Linked DNA regions of Stegostoma tigrinum. Each later gene encodes a partner of the first gene's protein in a complex. Links are inferred from orthologs where the notes say so. Each region holds a gene or a part of one and is shown in the gene's direction. Other genes may lie near its edges.

Region 1 (10,736 bases):
GTTCGTTTGCAATATGCTGTTCAAGGTGCTGTCTGCTTTAGAAGTTGGTTTGCCCAGAGTCTTCCCTGTGAATTAAACAAGTCCCTCTACCTTTTTTAAAATGGTGACCGGCTTGACTTTCAAATTGCTTTTCTTCGGAGACTCCCAGTTTGCCTCAGATTGTAAATCCGCTGCCTCTTTTGCAACCCTGCTCCCAAACTGAGGAGATTGCTGAGAAACTCAGCAGGTCTGGCAGCACCTGAAGCAGAGTTACCATTTCATGCCCAGTGTCCCTTCTGTGGAATACAAGAAAGGTCACTAGACTTGAAGTGTTAACTTCATTTTTCTCTCTCCACAGATGCTGCTGCACCGCCTGTGAATCTGCAGCAATTTGTTTAATCAAACTCTAATTGCTGTACAGAGAGTCCAACAGTTGGAGCCTGTCAGGCCAGCCCTGCTGAGAAGGGCTTGTGTACAAACTGAGAGGATGGGACTGAGATCTGAGGTGCCCAGAGTAGTCAAACAGGCGATTTAGAGGGCTGACACAATAACAAAGATTATTTCCACCAAAAAGCTACATAGAGTTGACCTCATGGCGTGTGATCACTTGTATAGTCATTTCCATTATTATCTTCTCTTGTAGAGTCAACAGTCTTTGCAAGGAGTTTCCCTCCATGTATTGTTTAACATCCTGTTGGTATTAAACAGCTTTACAATTTGTTCTTCCCTGGGGGAGTGCAGGATATTTAAATCTTTTAAAATAAAGCACACACTGAAATGGCAATCCATTTTTCAGAATGTACTTTTTTACAATCCTTTTCAAATATAAATCTGTATATGAAAACGTATTTTGGAGGTTGGCAGTAAGAATCAATCTTAAACAGTCATTTGCGTTGAGGGGGAAAATGGGGGAGCAAGGACGGGGCTTGCATCCTCTGCCTCTTGACAGCTTCTACAGAAATAGGCAGATTTTTTTTAAAAGAAAGTCCAGGAGGGGATGTGTGATTAAATAATGTTTTATTATTTTACCACTTGGTGCTGAATACCAGCAATAATTATAGCTCCAAAATACTGCAGTCTTCCCAGGCCGTCTTCCATGATTGTGGGTAATGTTCCTCTAATTCTGCATGTTCAGGGGTCATTTGAATTAAGAAATCTGATGGGTGACACTCCGCTGTAGACTATATTTATTTGGCAATAAGATGTTGTTTGTATATTTGATTTTTTTTTCCCATGACCTGTTTGGATTAGTATTCTGTCTAATGTCTTTTTGAACCAAACACTTGAAAACTTTTAATGTCTGTGTGTCTCCTGAGCGTTTTCGAACCAATTCCCTGTTCGAGTCGTGCACTTTCTGATGTTTTAAATAAGGTTATTAAATGCCGAACGTGTCTCTCTCCATGACTGGTTCATTGCTGACTTTTGCCAATGTAAACTAAATTTTGTATCAGTGACCAGCAGGTTTGTTTTATTTCCTCCTCCCTCTCACTACTTTAAAAACAGATGTGTCAAAAGACCTGTTAAATGGATATTCTTTGTAAGCAGGAGAGTCAATCCAGTTTCCTTATCGTCGTGGTGCATGTGGTCACCATGTGTAATGCGATTTCTTTGGATTTTGAGGGAACGTATTCTATATTTCTGTATTAAAGAAATAGTTTTAATCTCGTTTTTCTATTTTTTTAAATGTCTCAATTGTTTAAAAAAATTTTTAATAATGGAGGCTGTTGTTTTGAAACCCTGTTCCCTTACTGATGGATGGGCAGTACTCCATAGAGTTTGATCCAGGTTATTAGACCTTCAGATTGTTTGCCTATTGAACTGGTGGCAATAAGTTTCAATTAATAAAGCTGAAATTGAAAGTTGGTCTCAGTGAGGCACCCTCATCAATTTCTGGAAATCACCATCTGGTTCATCAGTGCCATTTTAGGGGTGGAAATCTGTCACCTTTAATCAATCTGGCAGCAATGTGGTTGACTCTTACCCGCTCTCTGAAATGGCCCAGTAGCATGAGTTTGAGGGAAATTAACAAGGGGTAACAAATGTTGGCCCAACTGGGATGCACGGTGGATAAGTTATCAATTAGGAATCTTCAGAATGCCTTACTTGTCGTTCCAGATTGAGGCACATTTCAGGCTTGCTTTTTGCCTCTGTGTTAATTAAATAGAACTGGAGGGAGGAGGCTAAGGAGATAAATTCTTCTTTTCATGTGTTACTAGATCTTTCTTGCTGTTTCCCTTCTGACTGAAGGTGTGCTGGAGCCTGTCCTTAAGCTGTTGAAACACAAGTTGTGAGCCAAATGTAGAGTGCTCTGTTTCTGATGTGATTGGATGTGAGGGAGCCCTGGTTACAGATTCCCTGTGGATTTGCTGCAACATGATGCATTGTTTTCCAAGTACCATGGTAGGGGATTATACAGTGGGGGAAGCATAGGGTTCAGCACCAAGTCTGCATTTATCTTGACTTACAAGTTAAGCTTTACCTTGAACTTTGCAAGTAACTTCAAAAGAGCCTGTTCCAAAAAGGTGCATGTGTATTTAGAGAACCAAACTGAGTATGAATAGTGATTATTACTAAGGACATGGCCCAATGCAAGGGATTCAAAGAGCTTTTTAAATCTGAGAATTGTACCCAGTGTTGTTTGGAGAGTAGAGTTAGGTTCCTGCTAAATGGCAAGACTGGCAAAATTCACTACAAAGTGCTCACTGACCTGACCTGACCTGACCTGACCTGTGCTCGTCAACCAATGTCTTGATTTTTAAAGTTCTCGTTCTTATTTTCAAATGTCTTTGTGGAGTAAATCTCCCTCATTTAGCACTCCGTCTGTGTTCCCTTTATCCGTTTTCAGCTTTCCTCATTTAACCTGTGCCAATGTTGGCAGCCGTGCCTTCAGCCGTTCCCAGGCCCTCGGCTCTGGAAATCCCTCTGGCCATCGCACCTCTTTCTTCTCTTGTTGACCATCTTTAAAGACCTGTCCTAATGTGCTGCGTGGCTTAGCACCAAATTTTGTTTCACAGTGCCCTGTTACAACACTGAATTCAAGCCACTTTACCCTCCCCCAATAACTAGCATTCATAAAGAAAATCTGTGCTGTATACTACCAAGTTCATGGGAAATGAGAGCTTGCATCTCTATAGCACCTTGAGCCCTCCAGCTATCCACCGGTTTGTTCTACCCAATAGAGTAGTTCTGAATTGCAATCAAGTTTGTATTATAGGAAACAGTAGCCAAGAGGTAGAAGAAAGAAGGCATGCCTCTCAAAAGGGTCTTTAAAATTCTGAAGAAGTTTGATAGACAGGAATAGTATGTCTGTCCATAACTAATAGGTAGCTATTAACTGGAATCGATAGTAACAAAACTCCTCCTGATTTGCCTCACTGTACTCAATGTTGGCTTGGAGACAGATCATTAACAAAACTAGCTTTTCACTAAACATATCTTGGTACTTGAGAGGCAAGTGGCGAGGAGAATATGAATAGAACGTGGTCTCCGGATGTAGGGAGGCTGTTTAATCCTTGCCCCAGTCCTAATGCCTTCATTCAGGGTGGTGAACCTGTGGAAATTTCTGCCTACAGAAGGCTGTGGAGTCCTATATTTTTTAAGAAATAAATGAATTTCTAGTCGTTCAAGGCATGTAATAGTACAGGGAGAGAAGGTAAAAGGTCGATCATGACGAATGATGGAGCAGTTGCTATGGGCTGATTGATTGGCCTACACTCATTCCTATTTCTGCCTTTTATCAAGGGGAAAAACAGGAGGTGGCTCTTGGAATCACTCCAGCCATTGTACATCCTTTCTTCTTTTGTGACCCTTCTTAAAGACCTGTAGTACTATTTTGCTTGGTTCAGTACCAAATTTTGATCGACCCTTTACCTTCTCTTTCCCCCCCTCTATTACATGTCTTGACTGACTAGAAATTCATTTATTTCTTAAATATAGGACTCTGCAGCCTTCTGTAGCTGGCTGTTAGGGTGCATAAATACGGCTATTGAACAGATGGGCCAAATGGCCTGTATCTGTGTTGCAATTGGTTTTATCCCATTCTCGAATGGATGGCCATCTCAAAGACTTCTAATTTTAAAAATCATCAGCCCAGAATCCATGTGGCTTAAAGTTAGTTACTGGAGACCCCAGTGCTATCCAGGGTACCCTTTGTTTTGGCAGATTTTGCCTGTGGAGGGGAAAAACAGAGGAAGGGTCACTGGACCTGAAACGTTAACTCTATTTTCTCCTCCACAGATGAGCTTTTCCAGCAACTTTGTTTTTGTTCCTGATTTACAGCATTCACAGTTCTTTTTGATTTTATTTTTAAAAAAGATAGGTGGAAGGCCAGGTAGTCTTGAGGAAGCAGGGAGGCTGCAGAAGGGCTTGGACAGGTGAAGAGACTAGGCAAAAATGTGTTCCATCTGCCATGATGTGGGAAGGTGAGAGGTGATGCATTTAGGTTACACCTCTTGTTCCTCCCTATTTTCTAAATGGGGAAAGGCATCAGAAAACTGAGGCATAAAGGGACTTGGGAGTGCTAATTCAGGGTTCTGTAAGGTTAACATACAGGTTTAGTTGGCAGTTAGGAAGGCTAATGCAGCATTAGTGTTAGCACTCACTCTGAGAGAGTGAGAATAGAATGCTAGGGATGTACTGCTCTATAAGGCTGTGGTTAGACTGCACTTGGAAAAGTGTGAGCAGTTTTGGGCCCTGTACTGAAGGAAGGATATGCCGCCAGTTGAGGGGACACGGGAGGTTTACAAGACTCATCCTGAGGATGGAGGGCTTGTCATGTTCAGGAGCAGTGGAGGACTCTGCACTTGATGGCGTTCAGAGGGATGGTGGATGGATCTGATTGAAACAGAATACAGAGAGATCTGGATAAAAGTGGACAAGGTGTTTCTTATTAGTAGGAGAGAATTGTACGTGAGAGCACAGCCTCTGATGAAGGGATGGCAGTTTAGGACTGAGATGAGGAAGAATCCCCAGCCAGGGCATGGTGAATCTGTGAAACTCGCGGCTGTAGAGGTCAAGTCAGTGCGTGTATTTAAGCGAGAGATGTGTTTGCCTTTAAGGGGATCAAGGGTAGAGCAGACTTGGGTTGAATGGACTAATTCTGCTGCTCTAACCCAGTCACTTCAAACGAAGTAAAATCCCTTTTCCAATTCGACACAAGCTTTCTGTATTCAGTTGGAAAATGTTTGAGGGTGGGACCTTGAAATAAAACAAAAGCAGATTCCTTCTGTAATGCAGCTATTGTTTTCACTAGGGGGAGAGGTGTGTCGTATTTGTGGTGAGGATCCTGGTGACTTTCCCCCTTTAAGAATCACTGCTTTGGGTGTTGTTTACCCTGCACACTCACCCAACCTTGGGCAAAGGTGGTCTCCCTGTCCCCTTCTGATTATGATTGGCCAGTGTGGGACGTTGGGTGGGGCGCAGAGCACGATTAGTGGCCGGGTTGGATGCCGGTCAGTCGCTGCTTCGAGTCTCGATTGGATGGGGCGACTGTCGGACAACAGGAGCGTGCCAAGGATGGAGTGGTTGAAGCCGTCAATCGGGCGAGTTCGGCCGGCAATTGGACGGAGAGGGTCTCAATCAGCGGCAGAGGTCAGCGATTGGTCGGCAGGGTCAACGAGCGAGTTAGGTTGTCCACGGAAACGGGGCGGGCTCAAGATGAGCCCACCCCCTCACATTTGCCCACCTTCCCGCGAATATGGCGGCGGTCGACGGGAGCCTGCGCTTGGCGCTGGCCGCCCTGTGGGCCCTGGCGTCCGGGCAGCCGGACGGGGGCGAGGTCGAGGTGCGGGGGGTCCGGCTGGAGGGCGGCGGCAGTAGTGGCGAAGGCGGAGGCCCGGTGCGGATGGCGGGTGGCGCTATCGAAGCCGGCGCTGGGGCCCGTTTCCAGCTGAGGGTGTTCGGCCGGCGCCTGGTGGCCGAGAGCTGGCCCTGGTTGGCCTACAGCCCCGAGCCCGAGTGCGGCAGCGGCAGCCTGGAGACGGCCTGGCTGGACCTGGGGGATAACCAGACGGACGGCTCGGTGTTGGTGAGCGTCCGGGCCGGCCTGCGGGGGAGGCGTTACTACCTGTGCGCCCTGGTGCACCGGGAGAGGGGCCTGTGGCAGCCCCCTGGAGGCTGGGAGACCCCGTTGGACATCCGGCCTCCGCCGTCCCCGCTGTCGGTGTGGGGCCAGGTGCTGGCGCTGGCCGTCCTGCTGCTCGCCTCGGCGCTTCTCAACCTGCTGCGCCTCAGCGTGCTGTGGCTGGAGCCCCTGGAGCTGCACATCATCCGCCACTGCGGCACCGAGGCGGAGAAGCGGCGAGCCGAGTCGCTAGAGCCCCTGAGGCGGCGGGGGAACCTGGTGCTCTGCTCCCTGGTGCTGGGCAACGTGCTCGCCAGCTCGTGCCTGGCAGTGCTGCTCCACCATGCAGTGGGCACTGTCCTGCCGGCCGTGCTGGCCTGTGCCGGCCTGCTCTTCCTCCTGGGTGAAGTGGTGCCCTATGCCATCTGCTCGCGGTACGGCTTCACCGTGGCCTCCCATGCTACCTGGCTGACCCGCCTGCTGGTGGTGCTGGCATCGCCGCTGGTCCTTCCCGTCGCCCTGCTACTGGACTGCGCCCTGCGCCAGGACGTCAGCACCTGCTACGTCCGTGAGAAGATCCTGGACATGTTGCGCTCCACCGACCCCTACAGCGAATTTGTCAAGGAGGAGTTCAGCCGTGGTACACTGAGGACCAAAGTCGTGGAGGACATCATGACCAGCCTGAAGGACTGTTTCATGCTCAGTGCTGAAGCTGTGCTGGACTTCAACACCATGTCTGAAATCATGCAGTGTGGCTACACCAGGATCCCAGTCTATGAGGGGGAGATATCCAACATTGTGGACATTGTCTACGTGAAAGACTTGGCCATGGTCGACCCTGAGGACTGCACTCCTTTGAATACCATCATCAAATTCTACAACCACCCCCTGCATTTTGTGTTCAATGACACCAAGTTGGATGCTGTCCTGGAAGAGTTTAAGAAAGGTGATTGTTTATCACTGGTGGAATCTGTTCCACCATCCAAAAGGAAACATTAATTTGCCCCATGCTTTCTGAAGGGCTTTTGAACAAGGTGTGCTCGTGGTGACCTGAACTTTTTAGATCTGCCTGGAGATCTTCACACACCACCATGTTTTTCCCCACTGTAATCCAGGGGCCCTGCTAGAGAAGCACCACAGAGTGTTTTATTGTATGTTTCAATTTTGTTTCTCTCCCAGGTTCTTTCTACTCTGGTCCTATTTCACAATCTAGTGCTGTAGTTCAGTTGTGGGATCACCTACACGATTCTCGAACTGCAGTTAGGCAAGTTGACACGGTTGTGTTTAACAAAAACATCAGTTTTAGAAATAGTCTTAGAGTGGCACAGTGAGAGATATTGTGTTGAATATTCTGGATGGATAACTGAAGGAAGAAAAGACCTTTTCTCTCTCTTTTATGCGATGTGGGTATTTGCTGACCATCACCGATTTCCCATGAACTGAGTTGTTTGCCTGACCTGTTCAGAGTCAACCACGTTGCTGTCGATCGGAGTCATATAAGCCAGATCGGGTAAAAACCCATCTGCCATCTTTACGTGAATTGACAACAATTGTCAGAGTTGCAAACACTGAGACTAGCTTTATTTGCATTTAAATTCTGAGACAGACATGTTTGTAATATTTAAGGGAATCAAAAGACATGGGGGAAAAGGCAGAAAAGTGGAGTTGATTACTCGGTCAACCACGATCTCATCGAATAGCAGCAGATTTGATGGGCTGAATGGACTATTCTGCTTCTACACCTTTTAAATTCACTTTAAGGACAGGAGCTGCAGTTATTCTCATACCAGGGAAAAGGAGAGTCGATTGATGTTTTTCCAAATTGTAAATGATTTTTAATAAAACTGGGAGAAAATGTTTCCAGTAATTGGAGGGTCAGTAACCAGAGTGTGCAAAATTTCAGTTTCGAAAGAACCAAAGGCAGCACAAGAGTTTGCAGGACCTGAAAGGGTGATGTTGGCAGATTCACTGGTAACTTTAAAATGTATATCAGGTGGAGCGTGGAGGAAGTCCTTTGAAAGACCACGGTGGGTTGAATGGCCTCCACCTGATAGGCTCACTGATGCCTATTCTAGTGGTTGACCTGAAGCCATGAAGCTCGATAACTCAAAAGGTTTGGTGGCGGTTGTTAACGCTTTGCTGTTTGTCAGCACTCATTGACACAAATTGCCTTATCTGCTTTGTCACAAGGGGGCTAGATTCCAGCTAAGGACACGGTCAACTACTGATACCTATTCTACAAGATCCACTGTAGAGGTTCAGTAGGGCTGAAGTAGTTTTATAGTGATTATCTTGAGAGATGATTTATATTTAATAACTCCTATTCATGAGCAAGAGTTAGCAGGCAGCCTTCAGGTCATGAACTGTTGCTTGAACTGGTTAGGGAATTTCTAAAACATTTCTCAATCTAAAAGCATTTGTATCAATGTCAGATCTTGGTGTGGCTAAATATTGTTGATGACTTCTACTTTAAGATGTAGAGGGGCCTCTCATTTGCTTTCTAGATCATCTCAATGTATCCTGTTTGAATTTGTGAGCAGAAGCACAATTATGGTCCCACTTTCCATTGTCAATTTGAGAAACCTACTGTTTTATTTGAGAATGCCCAGTTCATTTTTCCAGGATTTTATGTCCCATTCTGCCTCTCCTGACCGATTTAGCCAGGATCCCCTGACTCCTGTTAGGAGCTTGAGTACGGGTTGTTGATATATTAACTTCAAACTTTCTTTGCAGTGATTGCCTGAAATGCCAGCCAGATGCTGCCGCCCCCCCCCCCCCCCCCCCCCCCCCCCGCCACACACACACACACACACACACACACACACACACACACACACACACACACACACACACACACGGGGTACTGAGCAACTTCAGCTGAAGGCTTAGAGCAAAAGGGCCTACCACTCTCAATCAGGGTGTGCAAAAGCAACACAGAACTGTTACAGGACAGAAAGACACCATTCTGTTTGTGCAATTCACTGATTAACATTTTTCCTCCTCCTCTCCATAATCATGCGCACGCTTTTATTTTCAAATTCAGCCTAATTCTAATTCCCTTTCAGTAGACCTCAACGTTCAGTAAAACAAGCTAAGAGAAGGTGGTGGTAATGTCACTGAATTAGTAATCCAGAGGCTGACAGAACTTGAATTCAGTGAATTATTTTGGTATATAAAACTGGAGTTGGTGAAGGTATAAAAACTTATTGTTGATAGCCTTAAAAACCCATCTGGATCACTAAATGCCCTTTAGGGAAGGACGTTCTTCATACTTACCCGGTCTGGCCAGTGAGATTCCAGAATAGTGTCCCCTCCTAGTTGCCAGTTGTGCTTGTGTTGTATGCACGGCGATCGGTGGAAAAGATTCCAAATGCAGCATTGACTTCCGATGCGGCATTGACTCCCAATTCCAGAAGACAATGCTGTGCACGTGCCTTGGAGACTTGAGCAGCCAGCAAGAAAATTAGTGGAAAGCCGCTCCAGGTGCACAGCAATGTGGTTGACTCAGCCCTCTGAAATAGCCAAGTAAACCACTTCAGTATAGGACATCTGGAGATGGGCAACAAATGCTGGCCTTTCCAGCAGTACCCACATCCCATTGAAGAATAAAGAAACTAAATGTAAATGACTTCCCAATATCTTTGACTCCCCTATCAGTTCTGAATCAGCCTTAAAAATATTCAGTGACCCTGCTTTTACTGCTGTCTGAGTTTTCCCCTCTGTCTGGAACAGGAGACCTCTAATTTGTAAGCAACACCCCTTAGTTCTAGTCTCTCCTTTGTCCTTTCCATATTTGCAGATTATCAGAGCGGGAGATGTACAGCAGCAAGGAAATTAAACCTCTCTGAAAAAGACTTAAATCCAAGTTAATCTTGGTTGTTTTTTATTATCTAACCCTGTTCTGTGGTTATAACAATGCTGTGTTTGTCTTTTTGTTTTGAGGCAAATCTCATATGGCAATGGTTCAGAAGGTGAACAACGAAGGCGATGGTGATCCCTTCTACGAGGTGCTTGGTTTAGTGACCCTTGGGGATGTCATCGAAGAAATAATCAAATCTGAGATCCTCGACGAATCAGATAATAGTAAGTAGAAACAATAGGAGTTTCGAAGTGATGGCTTTTGAAGTTGGGGGTGGCGTCACTAATCTCCTTCTCAACAGGATTATTCAGCATTTCATTTCAGGGACTGACCATTCTGTCTTGCAACTTTGTGCCAATGTCTATCGTCTATACAAATGTCCTCTCTGTCATCTTCTTTTCACCCATTCAGCATGTCCTTCTAAGATAACAAGGTGTCAGAGCTGGATGAACACAGCAGGCCAAGCAGCATCAGAGGAGTGTAAAGGCTGACGTTTTGAACCCAGACCCTTTTTTTCAGAAATGCATATTCAGCATATCCTTCTGTTTGTTTCTCTGTCTTGTTGATCTGCCTTGCCATTAAACGCATCTCTGCTGATGATCTCAAATTTCCACTGTGTTTGTGTGTTCCACAGTCCAACCGTTTCTCTTGAATTTCCTGTTGGATTTATAAGTGACCACCATTGATTTATGGCTGCTGGTTCTGGTATTTCCTGCTCTTGGAAATTTACGTGTATCTGTCCTATCAAAATTATCCATGATCTTGAACTTGGACCTGCTTAGAGCAGAGAGCCCCCAGTCTGTCCACTTTTTTTTCACGTGTATCTCAGTTCTTGGA
Region 2 (10,736 bases), on another chromosome or scaffold:
TGAGGAAGCTGGACCAGAATCAACGACTTTCCACAGATAAGACCATAAGACATAGGAGTTGAAGTAATGCTATTCGGCCCATCAAGTCTACTCCACCATTTAAATCATGGCTGATGGGCATTTCAACTCCACTTCCCTGCACTCGCCCCGTAGCCCTTGTTTCCTTGTGCGATCAAGAATTTATCGATGTCTGCCTTGAAGGCATCTAACGTCCTGGCCTCCACTGCACTCCTTGGCAATGAATTCCACAAGCCCCATGTCTCCTCATTTCCGTTTTAAATTTACTGCCTCTAATTCTAAGGCTGTGCCCACGGGTCCTAATCTCCCTGCCTAACGGAAACAACTTCCCAGCGTCCACCATTTCTAAGCCATACATTAGCTTCTAAGATACAAATAAATGATGACTTGATGATGGAAGTCTGGCCTCTGAGGAGTTATTTCAGTGGTAACGAGAAAAAAAAAGCACTCCTGAAGAAATTCATTTGCAACAGTCATCTTAGAGTTGGGGTAAGCACTTTCGGCATCATGGCTTTATTTGGGAAGCTAGACTCATTTGATTGTGCCTTCGAAGACACTGCCCAGTATGTGCAAAAATAAGAATGGGGCAGATGAAAACTAATGAGTAATTCTCCTGACAGCTTGTGGACCCACAGTTTTTTTTTGGTTATTAGGAGCCTAATATTTCCTGAGGCACCAGACACTAAAACTTTTCAGGAGTTTTCGGATTTAGTTAAGGAATATTACTACTCCCAGCCCCCTGTAGTTCTGAGACACCATCAGTTTTAATCAGCAGTTTGAGAGCCAGGAAACCTGTGTCAGGGTTTCTGATGAGGCTAAAATGACTGGCAGAAGCATGCGACTTTGCTTTAACCATCAATGAGATGCTGAGAGACTGTTTGGTATGTGGGATTAATGATGTGACCATGTAAAATCGTCTACTAGCTGAAGCCCAGCTGGACTTCAACAGGCATTGCAACTGGCTTTGTCATTAGAAAATATGTCAAGTTGAGCAAATGCATTACAGGGTATGTAGATAGAAGTGGACACCCTCGCCAGGCCAACTGATCTTGTGGGAGACACCACTTAAGACAAGGCAATTGCTTAGCCTCACACAAGATACATCCTGAATAGATGAACTCTAGGTCAGTCCACAGCAAAACCACAGTAAAACCAAGCCTCAGCCAAATGGTTCACATTTTCTTCAGTGTCTGAGCCGGCAAGCCATTGTAGTTCCTGACGGTATGTGGACTCGAGACAACAAAGGAGTTCCACTCGGCCTGAATTGAATAAGAGAAGTCATACGCCGTCATCCAGGAGAGTACACATCCTGGAAAGCCCACCTACTTCTAGTTGGAACAGTTAAATTGTTTAGCAAAACCTAAATCAGAACCAATCAAAATAAACAGCTGGTTAAATGATCTCCCAGGTCAAATGGAGGTTGATAGCGGCACGGCTGTATCAGTGATTGCAGAACCAGTCTTTAACAAAATTCGCGCTGAACATCAACACATTAGTTTTCTTAAGACCCCGGCTGGACTGAGAACCTATACTAGGCAATCTTTAATAGATTAAGGGTACAACTTCAGTTCCAGTCTCGTATGAGAAGCAGACGGTTCCATTAGCATTGATTGTTGTAAAAGACTCGGGCCCAAGCCTGATGAAATTGCTTGAGAAAGATTCACTTTCATTGATTCAACATGCCTGAGTGAAAAGCAAATTAGGTACCCATAAGTTTTATCAGAAAAGTCTAGGAACTATCAAAGGAGCCAAGGGGATTGCATGTTGATCAGGAAACAATGCCATTTGTCTCGCATCCAAAAGTAGTGGCAGATATTAGGAGACTGGAAAGCGAAAGGATCATCAAACTAGAAGACTTGTGGAATGGCAGTGTCTGTCGTACTGATTGCGAAGTGCGATGGGTTGGTTCGCGTTTGTGAGGATTTTAAACAAACAGTAAACTGTTTCTCGCAGCTGGATAAATACCCAATTGCTTGCATAGAGGTCTCATACACAGAGTTGGTCAGGGTGCCGTCCTTCACAGAGCTGGAGCTGAGCCATGCATAACTGCATCTGCAGTTAGATGAAAATTCCCAGAAGTATGTTACAATTAAAACCTATAACCGTTTGCACCACATAAAAAACTGCCATTTAAGGCATCATCATGTGCCTTTTTCAGCGGATGATGGAAAACATTTTTCAAGGTCTTTAGATATTTCTCCAAGATGGGGGTACACCTTAGAAGGCAAAAATGTGTGTTCCAGTCAACTCAAGTGACCTACTTGGGCTAGAGTCAACGGGATTAGATTACACCCATTTGAAAACAAAGTGAGGGAGATCAAAGGTGTCTTGGTTCTCATGGCTGTGCTGGAGCTTAGGTCTTTCCTTGGATTGGTGAATTATCACAGGAGGTTTGGATGTACCTGGCCTCCATCCTGCCACCCTTACATCCACCATTGAAAAAGGGTCAGCCTTCGAAACAGTCTTCTAGCCAAGACACAGCCTTTGGGGAAGTTAAAGAAACAGCCAACACAGAAAATAGGTGCAGGAGTAGGCCATTCAGCCCTTTGTGCTTCTATCACCATTCAATATGATTCTGGCTGATCATGCAATCTCAGTATCCTATTCCTGTATTTCCCCCATATTCCTTGATCGCTTTAGCTGCAAGGGCCACATCCAACTCTTCCTGAATATATCTAATGAACTGGCCCCGGCAGCTTCCTGTAGAAGGGAGTTCCACAGGTTCACAACTCTGAATGAAGAAATTCTTCATCATATTCCTCATGAATGGCTTAGACCTTAGACTGTGACCCCTAGTTTTGGACTTCCCCAACATCAGGAACATTCTTCTCGCATCTGGCATGTCCAGTCCTATCAGGATTTTGTATATTTCTATGAGATCACCAGCTCATTCTTCTAAATTCCAGTAAATGTGATCTAGTCTTTCCTCATATGTTCATCCTGCCATCCCAGGAATCAGTCTGGTGAACCTACTCAATAGCAAGAAAGCCCTTCCTCAGAACAGAAGACTTTTTTTAAGAAGGCCCTGTATAACTGTTGCAAGACATCACTATTCCGGTTGTCAAATCCTCTTGCTATCAAAAGCCAGCACGCCATTAGCTATGCTCACTGCCTGCAAGTCAACCTTCAGTGATTGTTTCTAGATCTTGTTGCACTTCACCTTTTCCTAAACTGCCACCATTCAGATAATAAACTGCCTTCCTGTTTTTGCATCCAAAGTGGATAATCCACATTATATTGCGCTTGCCAACTGAGCCAGTCCAAGTCACCCTGCAGCCTCTTAGCATCCTCCTGACAGCACACACTGCCACCCAGCTTAGTATCATCTGCAAATTTGGAAACATTGCACTCATTTCACTAGATACCAAACTGCTCTGGTTTCTATTTGATTAGCGGAACATTATATCGTATATCTTAAGGGGTAGCTCCAGCAGAGTTGCCAATGGGGAGCAGGCTCCGCATGAGGTTAAATCTGATTTTCCTGGACCTTCGGATGGGCAGGGTGATGCAGAATCAGGACAACCACTGCTGGACACAAGACTCCTCTAAGCAAGAGAAACAGTTTGCTTTAGGAATCAAGTTTGGTGCCGATACCAGGAAAACGACCCTGCATGGATAAGAAGCGAGGTCAATGCAGAGTCAGGTCCTGAGACATACAAAGTTCAGGTCGGTGAGGTGGTCCTGGACAAGCATGCGGAGCACACGAAAGTTGTAAACCCACCAGCAGGATAGCAGCAAAACACGCCTGGACTGTCAGAATAGTCAGAAACTCTGTCAGAACCCTGGGGTTCTCCCCTCCGTCTAGCATCGAAGAAACATTAGAACTGGAGATGGACACAGAGGATTACGCATTCTTAATGCCTTCACCACCTTAAGAAGAAGATAAATTTCCTCAAAGACGTTCCAGACACAAGTGGGAGGCTACGGTCCGATACAAGCTGCCTGTATCCAAGGCTGAGTTGGAAGAACCAGATTCAGTGAGAAAGTGTCCCAGGAGAAGCTAACAAATAAGAACAGGCCTATGTCCCAGGACCTAGACGGGAAGGGTTGCAGAATTGGAATGGAGTCTGCCAAGTGGATCTCAGAGTTCCCTGATTGGAGCTATTAACCTGGTTCAATCAGTGAGCCCTGGCTGACAGGTATGATCAGGAGTGTCAGAAGTTCCGTTCACTCTGAGAACTAGCTCTGAGGTAGCCAGACCATTATCAAAGATAACAAAGTGGGGATCCCGTCCCTACCTATACTCTCCTCTCCACCTATGTTCTCCTCTATCCATCTTCAATCCACCTCCCCCTCTCTCCATCCCCCTCTCTGATGAAGGGTCCAGGCCTGAAACATCAGCTTTTGTGCTCCTGAGATGCTGCTTGGCCTGCTGTGCTTATCCAGCTTCACACTTTGTTATCTTGGATTCTCCATCATCTGCAGTTCCGATTATCTCAGACCATTATCAAAGCCTGGTTTGGTGACAGGATACCTTCCTCTGTTGAGTTATTTCAAAAGCAAAACTTGCAGCAACCAGTTGACATAGGCCAAAATGAAAGGTGGTGGTTGGGGGAAGGGCTTGGAGGAAGTATTAGAAAGACTGTAACAAATATCATTCGTTCAGGACCATCATTTGCATTTTGTTAGGCAAAATGAATGTGTCAAAGGCAGAACAAAAAAATATTGCTGGAGAAACTCAGCAGCATTTGTGGAGAGAAAGCAGTGTTAATATTTTGAGTCCAGGGACCCTTGTTCAGAACCTACTGAGTTTCTGTTTTTGCTTTTGCTTCAGTTTCCCAGTATCTGCAGTTCTTTGTTTCTTGAATCTTTGGACTTGAAATGTTAACTCTGTTTGTATCAGGTAAAGGCTGAGGGGTCCACAGACCCAAAACGTCGAATGTCCGTCTCCTCCGGCGCTGTCTGACCTGCTGAGCTCCTCCAGCTCCACATTTTATCAACCCTGCGTTCCTGCATTTGCAGTCCTATATTTTAAATGGTTGCATTTTCTTCCAGTATAAAATTGAAACTACAATTCATGGATGTGCCAGTCCAACTGGCAACAAAACACCATGAAGAACCTAACCCAGACTCACTGCAGGCGGTAAGAAAAGATTGGCGGGAAATATAGAGAGCGGAAATGACGCGAGGGTGGGACATGGTTACACAGAGAGCCCAAGTGGAGGAAGGGAGGGCAGAAACAACAATGGAGTTGCGTTTTTTTCTAAAATCAAAGGTTTTTTTTAAAAAAAAACCTGAATGAGTGTGGTCACTTTTGTTTGCTGTTTGTTATTGTGATTAATTTTCTCTCCTGGTCCCACACTTCAGGGTTGACCTATGACCTGACGCTGACGTCCCCTAGCGACGGCGGCTGGAACACATGGTAACACCGGCCCTGGGATAGGAGGAGGCAGCACAGAGAGAGAGAGAGAGTGGCTGTGTGAATGAGAGTGAGTGAACGCCAGGAGCTGTCCCTCACCACCGTCATTCTGTACTATTCGGGCTTTAAATGAACAGGTGTCGCGCAGTGAGTAACAAACCCTCCATTATCTTGACTCTGCTGGAGAAACTTACCATCCCACTGCCAAACACCTCCCAAGCAACGCCCACTTCACCCCTCCTCTCCCAAACACACACACACACACACCATCTTCCCTTTAGCTTTCCTCCGGAGAGCTTTTCAGTTTCTTTTGTTATATGGCTTTCAATTTAAGTTTTAATGGGTCAAAAATATTATTTTATTTCGTGTATGTGTGGCCGGTGTTGTTGACGTCCACTTTCTCAAGCGAGGAAGGCCGGTGCTTTCACCTCACCTTGGAGATCCCATCTTGAGTATGTGGCTGCTCCTTTTCCTTTGTGTGTGTGTGTGTGTGTGTGTCTCTCTCTCTCTTTCCTGCGCATTTGAACTCTTGGAGGCAAATGGGACTTTTTTCCAGGCTCTGTCTCTCCCTTCCTCTCCGAGTACACTGTACAGGTGTCTACCCGGTTTATAATCTGTTCATTGTGTGTTTTATTTTAGGAAATGGTTTTATTTTGTTAGTGTTGGGTATGGTATCTGAAGGAAATTTACAAAGAGGGCTGTGATCTCTGGAGGTTGCACTGCAAAAAGAGAAACTGCATATCATGTAGTGCCGTTGAGGAATACCAAAGCCCTTCACCATATGTGGTCAGAGGATTCAATGTGTGCAAGTTTTCCATCTCTTCCCTACGTTTATTTCTGAATGATCACTGCATTTTATATATGTTTAATTACGTTATTTAACTCTTGCAGCACAACTTGTGGGGCCACATGGAAGCTTTTGAAGACTCAGTAATTTGGTTACATTCCTGTCTTCAGTAATGTACTTAATTTCCTGAATATTGGGAAGTCTTTTAGTGTCTAAGAAACATATTGCGGATGCTTGAATGGAGGAAATTTTATAGTTTTAATTCACACATACTTCTGGCTTTCTTGTTTGCCCCTTTCGTGACCAACCATTTTCAGAATTGGAAAAAGGGGTGAATTATCCTGACATTGCAACATGGTTTTCTATAGCAAAAACAGAAATAGCTGGAAAAAGTCAGGCCTGGCAGCATCTGTGGAGAGAAATCAGAATTTTTTAACCAAGGTCACTGGACTCGAAAGGTTAACTTTGATTTCTCTCCACAAATACTGACAGACCTGCTGTGCTTTTCCAGCAACTTTTTTTTGTTTTTAGCATCTGCAGTTCTTTTGGGTTTTTTTTTAAAAGCTGATTTTCTACCTTTTTTGTGCTTAAATGGCTTGCTTACATGATTTTGTAAATCACTGGTGAGTGTCAGATGGTCTGAAATACATTTATGTTTGAATGTTTAATTTGCTTAGATTCAGAGAATAGGGTTTTTGTCCATATAAACAAAATGCTGTAGAAATGTTCCCTTTTAAATGTTCAGAATTGGTAATCTTAAAATAAAAATTGAAATGTATTGTTTCTTGTTTTTTAAAATTAACATCAAATATATTGTAGTGTTTAGAAACTACATGGTTGTGAGAATTCTGGAAGTGACTTCTTTGATTGTTTGAATGCCTGCAAAGAGTTTTACTATTATTTTAAATTTCGAAATCTATTCTGTCACAATTTTTTCGATGGGTCAGTAGATCATTGTACTGACTTGTTACTGAGTGGAATTGGCAGCAGCCCTGGGAGAAGGTCAGTTATTCACCCTCAGCTGAAGAAGTGTGTGCCAATTTTTTGTTTCTTTGGGGGTGGGGGCAAAAGGGTGTATTTATAGCTGAATTCAATATTAGAGCTGAATTTGTTTCATTTACTGTAACTGGTGATTGTTTATATAAAAAGGCTGATTTTCCAACTTTGTACGTATTAACGTAAGAGCAGAAGGAGCCTATTCAGTTCACTGTGCCTGCTGTGCTGTTCACTTTGAATTCTGTGCTGCTGTTTGCTTCCCCCACTCCCCCGCCAAACCAAAAAAAATCACCTAGATTGTGGTTAGACAAGGGAATCAGTCCACGTCTAACCGTCCTCATAGGGAAGCTTTGTTTTCATATTCACCTTGCCAAATCTGTATTTCAATCAAGTCATTTCTCTGTATTCTCATCTTGAGTTGGGTGGGGGGGTGGGGAGGATGGTGGATGGCAGTGGTGAGAGATGGAAAAAGTCCAGCCTTTTCAACCCATCACAAGACAACCTATTCATCTAGTAAGGAAAACAGCATCCATAGAGAGAGACCAAGCTAATGTTTCGAGTCGCGATGACTCTTCATCACTGATTAGCTTGCTGTTTTTCCATGGATGTTTTTTGATTTGCTGTGATTGCCAGCATTTGTTATTTTCAGTACGGATTCCATCATCTGCAGTAATTTATTCCTACGCTAATCTAGTAAACCTCCTTTAAATGTTTCCAACCTGTTTTAATCCTTCCTTAAATAAGGAGGCCAGAACTGCATGCAGTATTTGAGATGTCATTCTCACCGATGCCCTGCATAACTGAATATTATTATGATATCATTGCTGTTAAGTCAACTTACTCTTATCCTAAATTATTTCATTACCTTACCAAAACAGGAATTGCTGGAAAAGCTCAGCAGGTCTGGCAGCATCTGTAGAGAGAGAAGGAAAGTGTTAATGTTTCGAGTCCAGTATGACTTGTTCAGAGGCTCAAAGACTTAACATCAATTCTTTTTCTTCTTGCTTAGATGCTGTTAGACCTACTGAATTTCTCTAACACCATCTGTTTTTGTAATTTCCAAACTTTCTTTGTCTGCAAAAGGAGCTATTGTGCCTTCATCCCATCAAGATGTTTTCTAATTAGCCTGTTTGGCAATGTTATTGTGCACCTCTGAAGCAGATGAAACTTGAACTAAGGCATCCTAGCTCAAAGGAAGGCACATGATCACTACGCCACAAAAATTTCTTTGCTCCAATACAAATTGTCAGAAGCTGACACCCCAGAACAAACCCAGTGGAACTGGGGTCAGTGCTTAGTGGTGTCCCGCAGGGCTCTGTTCTTGGGCCTCTGCTCTTTGTAGTTTTTATAAATGACTTCGATGAGGAGGTTGAGGGGTGGGTTAGTTTGTTTGCTGATGACACAAAGGTTGGAGGTGCCGTTGATAGTATCGAGGGCTATTGCAGGCTTCAGCGAGACATTGACAGAATGCAGAGCTGGGCTGAGAAATGGCAGATGGAGTTCAACCTGGATAAATGCGAAGTGATGCATTTTGGAAGGTCGAACTTAAATGCTGAATATAGGATTAAAGGCAGGATTCTTGGCAGTGTGGAAGAACAGTGGGATCTTGGCGTTCAAGTGCATAGCTCCCTCAAAGTTGCCGCCCAGGTGCATAAGGTTACTAAGAAAGCATACACTGTTTTGGCTTTTATTAACAGGGGATCGAGTTTAAAAGCCGTGAGGTTATGCTGCAGCTCTACAAAACCCTGGTGAAACCACACTTGGAATATTGTGTCCAGTTCTGGTCGCCCTATTATAGGAAAGATGTGGAGGCTTTGGAGAGGGTGCAAAGGAGGTTTACCAGGATGCTGCCTGGACAGGAGGGCTTGTCTTACGAGGAGAGGTTGACTGAGCTTGGACTTTTCTCTCTGGAGAGAAGGAGGAAGAGAGGTGACTTGATCGAGGTGTACAAGGTAATGAGAGGCAGGGATAGAGTTGATAGCCAGAGACTTTTTCGCAGGGCAGGATTGACTGCCACGAGGGGTCATAGTTTTAAGGTGTTAGGAGGAAGGTATAGAGGAGACGTCAGAGGGAGGTTCTTCACCCAGAGAGTTGTGAGCGCATGGAATAGTTTACCTATGGTAGTTGTGGAAGCGGAGTCATTAGTGACATTTAAGCAACTGCTGGACATGCACATGGACAGCAGTGAATTGAGGGGAATGTAGGTTAGGTTATTTTATTTTTGGATTAGGATTATTCCACGGCACAACATTGTGGGCCGAAGGACCTGTACTGTACTGTGCTGTACTTTCCTGTGTTTTGTGTTCTATGTTATCCATTTATGCACACTGTCTAGCTAGTTGACAGAAAACAATCATTTGCCTATACTAACATATTACGACCTCCTTGTACTTTGTGCAGTAAATGTGGAACCTTGTCAGGTGCCTTCTGGAAATCCAAGTACAGCTACAGCTGATGTATTTGATGAGCAGATTGGAGCTGCGTTGCAAGCATGTGGTGGCCCGTTTGACTGATCTTTAACAATGGGCAAGAGTGCTTGGACAGAGCTATTCTACATCCCTATTTATCGCATTGTTTTGCTGTTTGTTAACTGAGCACTGTGAATAAATATCGTTGCATCTCTTGGAATCTTCAGACTTGTGGAAAGTTGTATAATGCTGCAGTTGTCGCCTTGGAAGTTTAAGTTTAAACTGATATAAGGTATGTTGGAACTAAATAGAAGGGAGTGCTGATGACCTGGTGCTAATATTGTAGTACAGTTAATCCAGAGACCAACATAATGTTCTGGGGATCCACCATGGCAAATGATAATTCCAGATTCTTATTGAATTCAAATTCTAAGAGTCTAATGTTAACTGTGAAACTGCTGTTGATTTGTTGCTCTTTAAAGCAAAATGTCTGGTTCACTAATGCCGTTTTAGGGAAGGAAAGTGCCTGCCATTCTCCATACCCACAACAATGTGGTAGTTGCTTAACTGCTTTCTGGACTATTAGGAATGAGCAATAATTGCTAGCTTAGCGAATGACAACCACATCCCACAAGATAATACAAAAAAAACTGCAGTGAAATGTTTAAGTGCACTCTTGGTTTGACATTTTGATCTTGCCCTTTGAGAAATTTCTGAATCTCTCCCACCTATTTCATTTCCCTAATTCTGTTCCCTATCTTCACATGGTTAACCCCACAAAGTAGACTTGAACTTACAAGACACAACAGTTGAACTTCTTCACTGGGATAGAGATGCTGGGTCAAAGAAGGTATTAGGAAGAATGACCTAAAGGTCAAGTAGATGTTTTTAAGAATAATCATTAAGTTGGCAGCGGGATGTTGAAGTGGAGCAGTGAAGGCAGGGGAATTCCACATTTTAGGACCTTCATATTTGATGGCACAACTGCTAAGTAGAGGGGCAAAATGAGGTACTCCAAATGTAGCTGTGTTGAAATTGGAAGAGAAGACTTTTTGCTTGAAAGTCTAACAGTCAGATTGGAACCAAGCAAGAATGGATCTACTAAACCTGACAGAAAAGGAGGTTGTCAGATGAGTATGGCATGGTTGACCATGACATTTGGAAAATG

The links.
Region 2: the proteins of metal transporter CNNM3 (region 1) and protein tyrosine phosphatase type IVA 3-like are in contact, whole or in part, in a crystal structure (PDB 5TSR), measured with the Homo sapiens proteins. The link is inferred for Stegostoma tigrinum from reciprocal best matches to the Homo sapiens genes CNNM3 and PTP4A3. Residues at the interface, in NP_060093.3 of Homo sapiens: Ser357, Asn358, Phe394, Asp396, Lys418, Val419, Asn421, Glu424, Gly425, Asp426, Pro427, Phe428, Tyr429; in NP_001425170.1 of Homo sapiens: Asn5, Pro7, Asp72, Gly73, Ala74, Val105, Ala106, Leu108, Gly109, Arg110, Arg137, Arg138, Gly139, Ala140, Ile141, Asn142, Lys144, Gln145.

The regions. Positions count from the first base shown.
Region 1 is NC_081393.1:16,749,297-16,760,032, reverse strand, and holds the start of metal transporter CNNM3, read left to right. Parts: upstream 1-5,671; 5' UTR 5,672-5,674; coding exon 5,675-6,986; intron 6,987-9,982; coding exon 9,983-10,123; intron 10,124-10,736. UniProt on the Homo sapiens protein: Probable metal transporter.
Region 2 is NC_081358.1:110,693,370-110,704,105, forward strand, and holds the start of protein tyrosine phosphatase type IVA 3-like, read left to right. Parts: upstream 1-5,355; 5' UTR 5,356-5,447; exon of another isoform or gene 5,448-5,524; intron 5,525-5,617; exon of another isoform or gene 5,618-5,829; intron 5,830-5,895; exon of another isoform or gene 5,896-5,971; intron 5,972-9,841; exon of another isoform or gene 9,842-9,860; intron 9,861-10,736. UniProt on the Homo sapiens protein: Protein tyrosine phosphatase which stimulates progression from G1 into S phase during mitosis. Enhances cell proliferation, cell motility and invasive activity, and promotes cancer metastasis.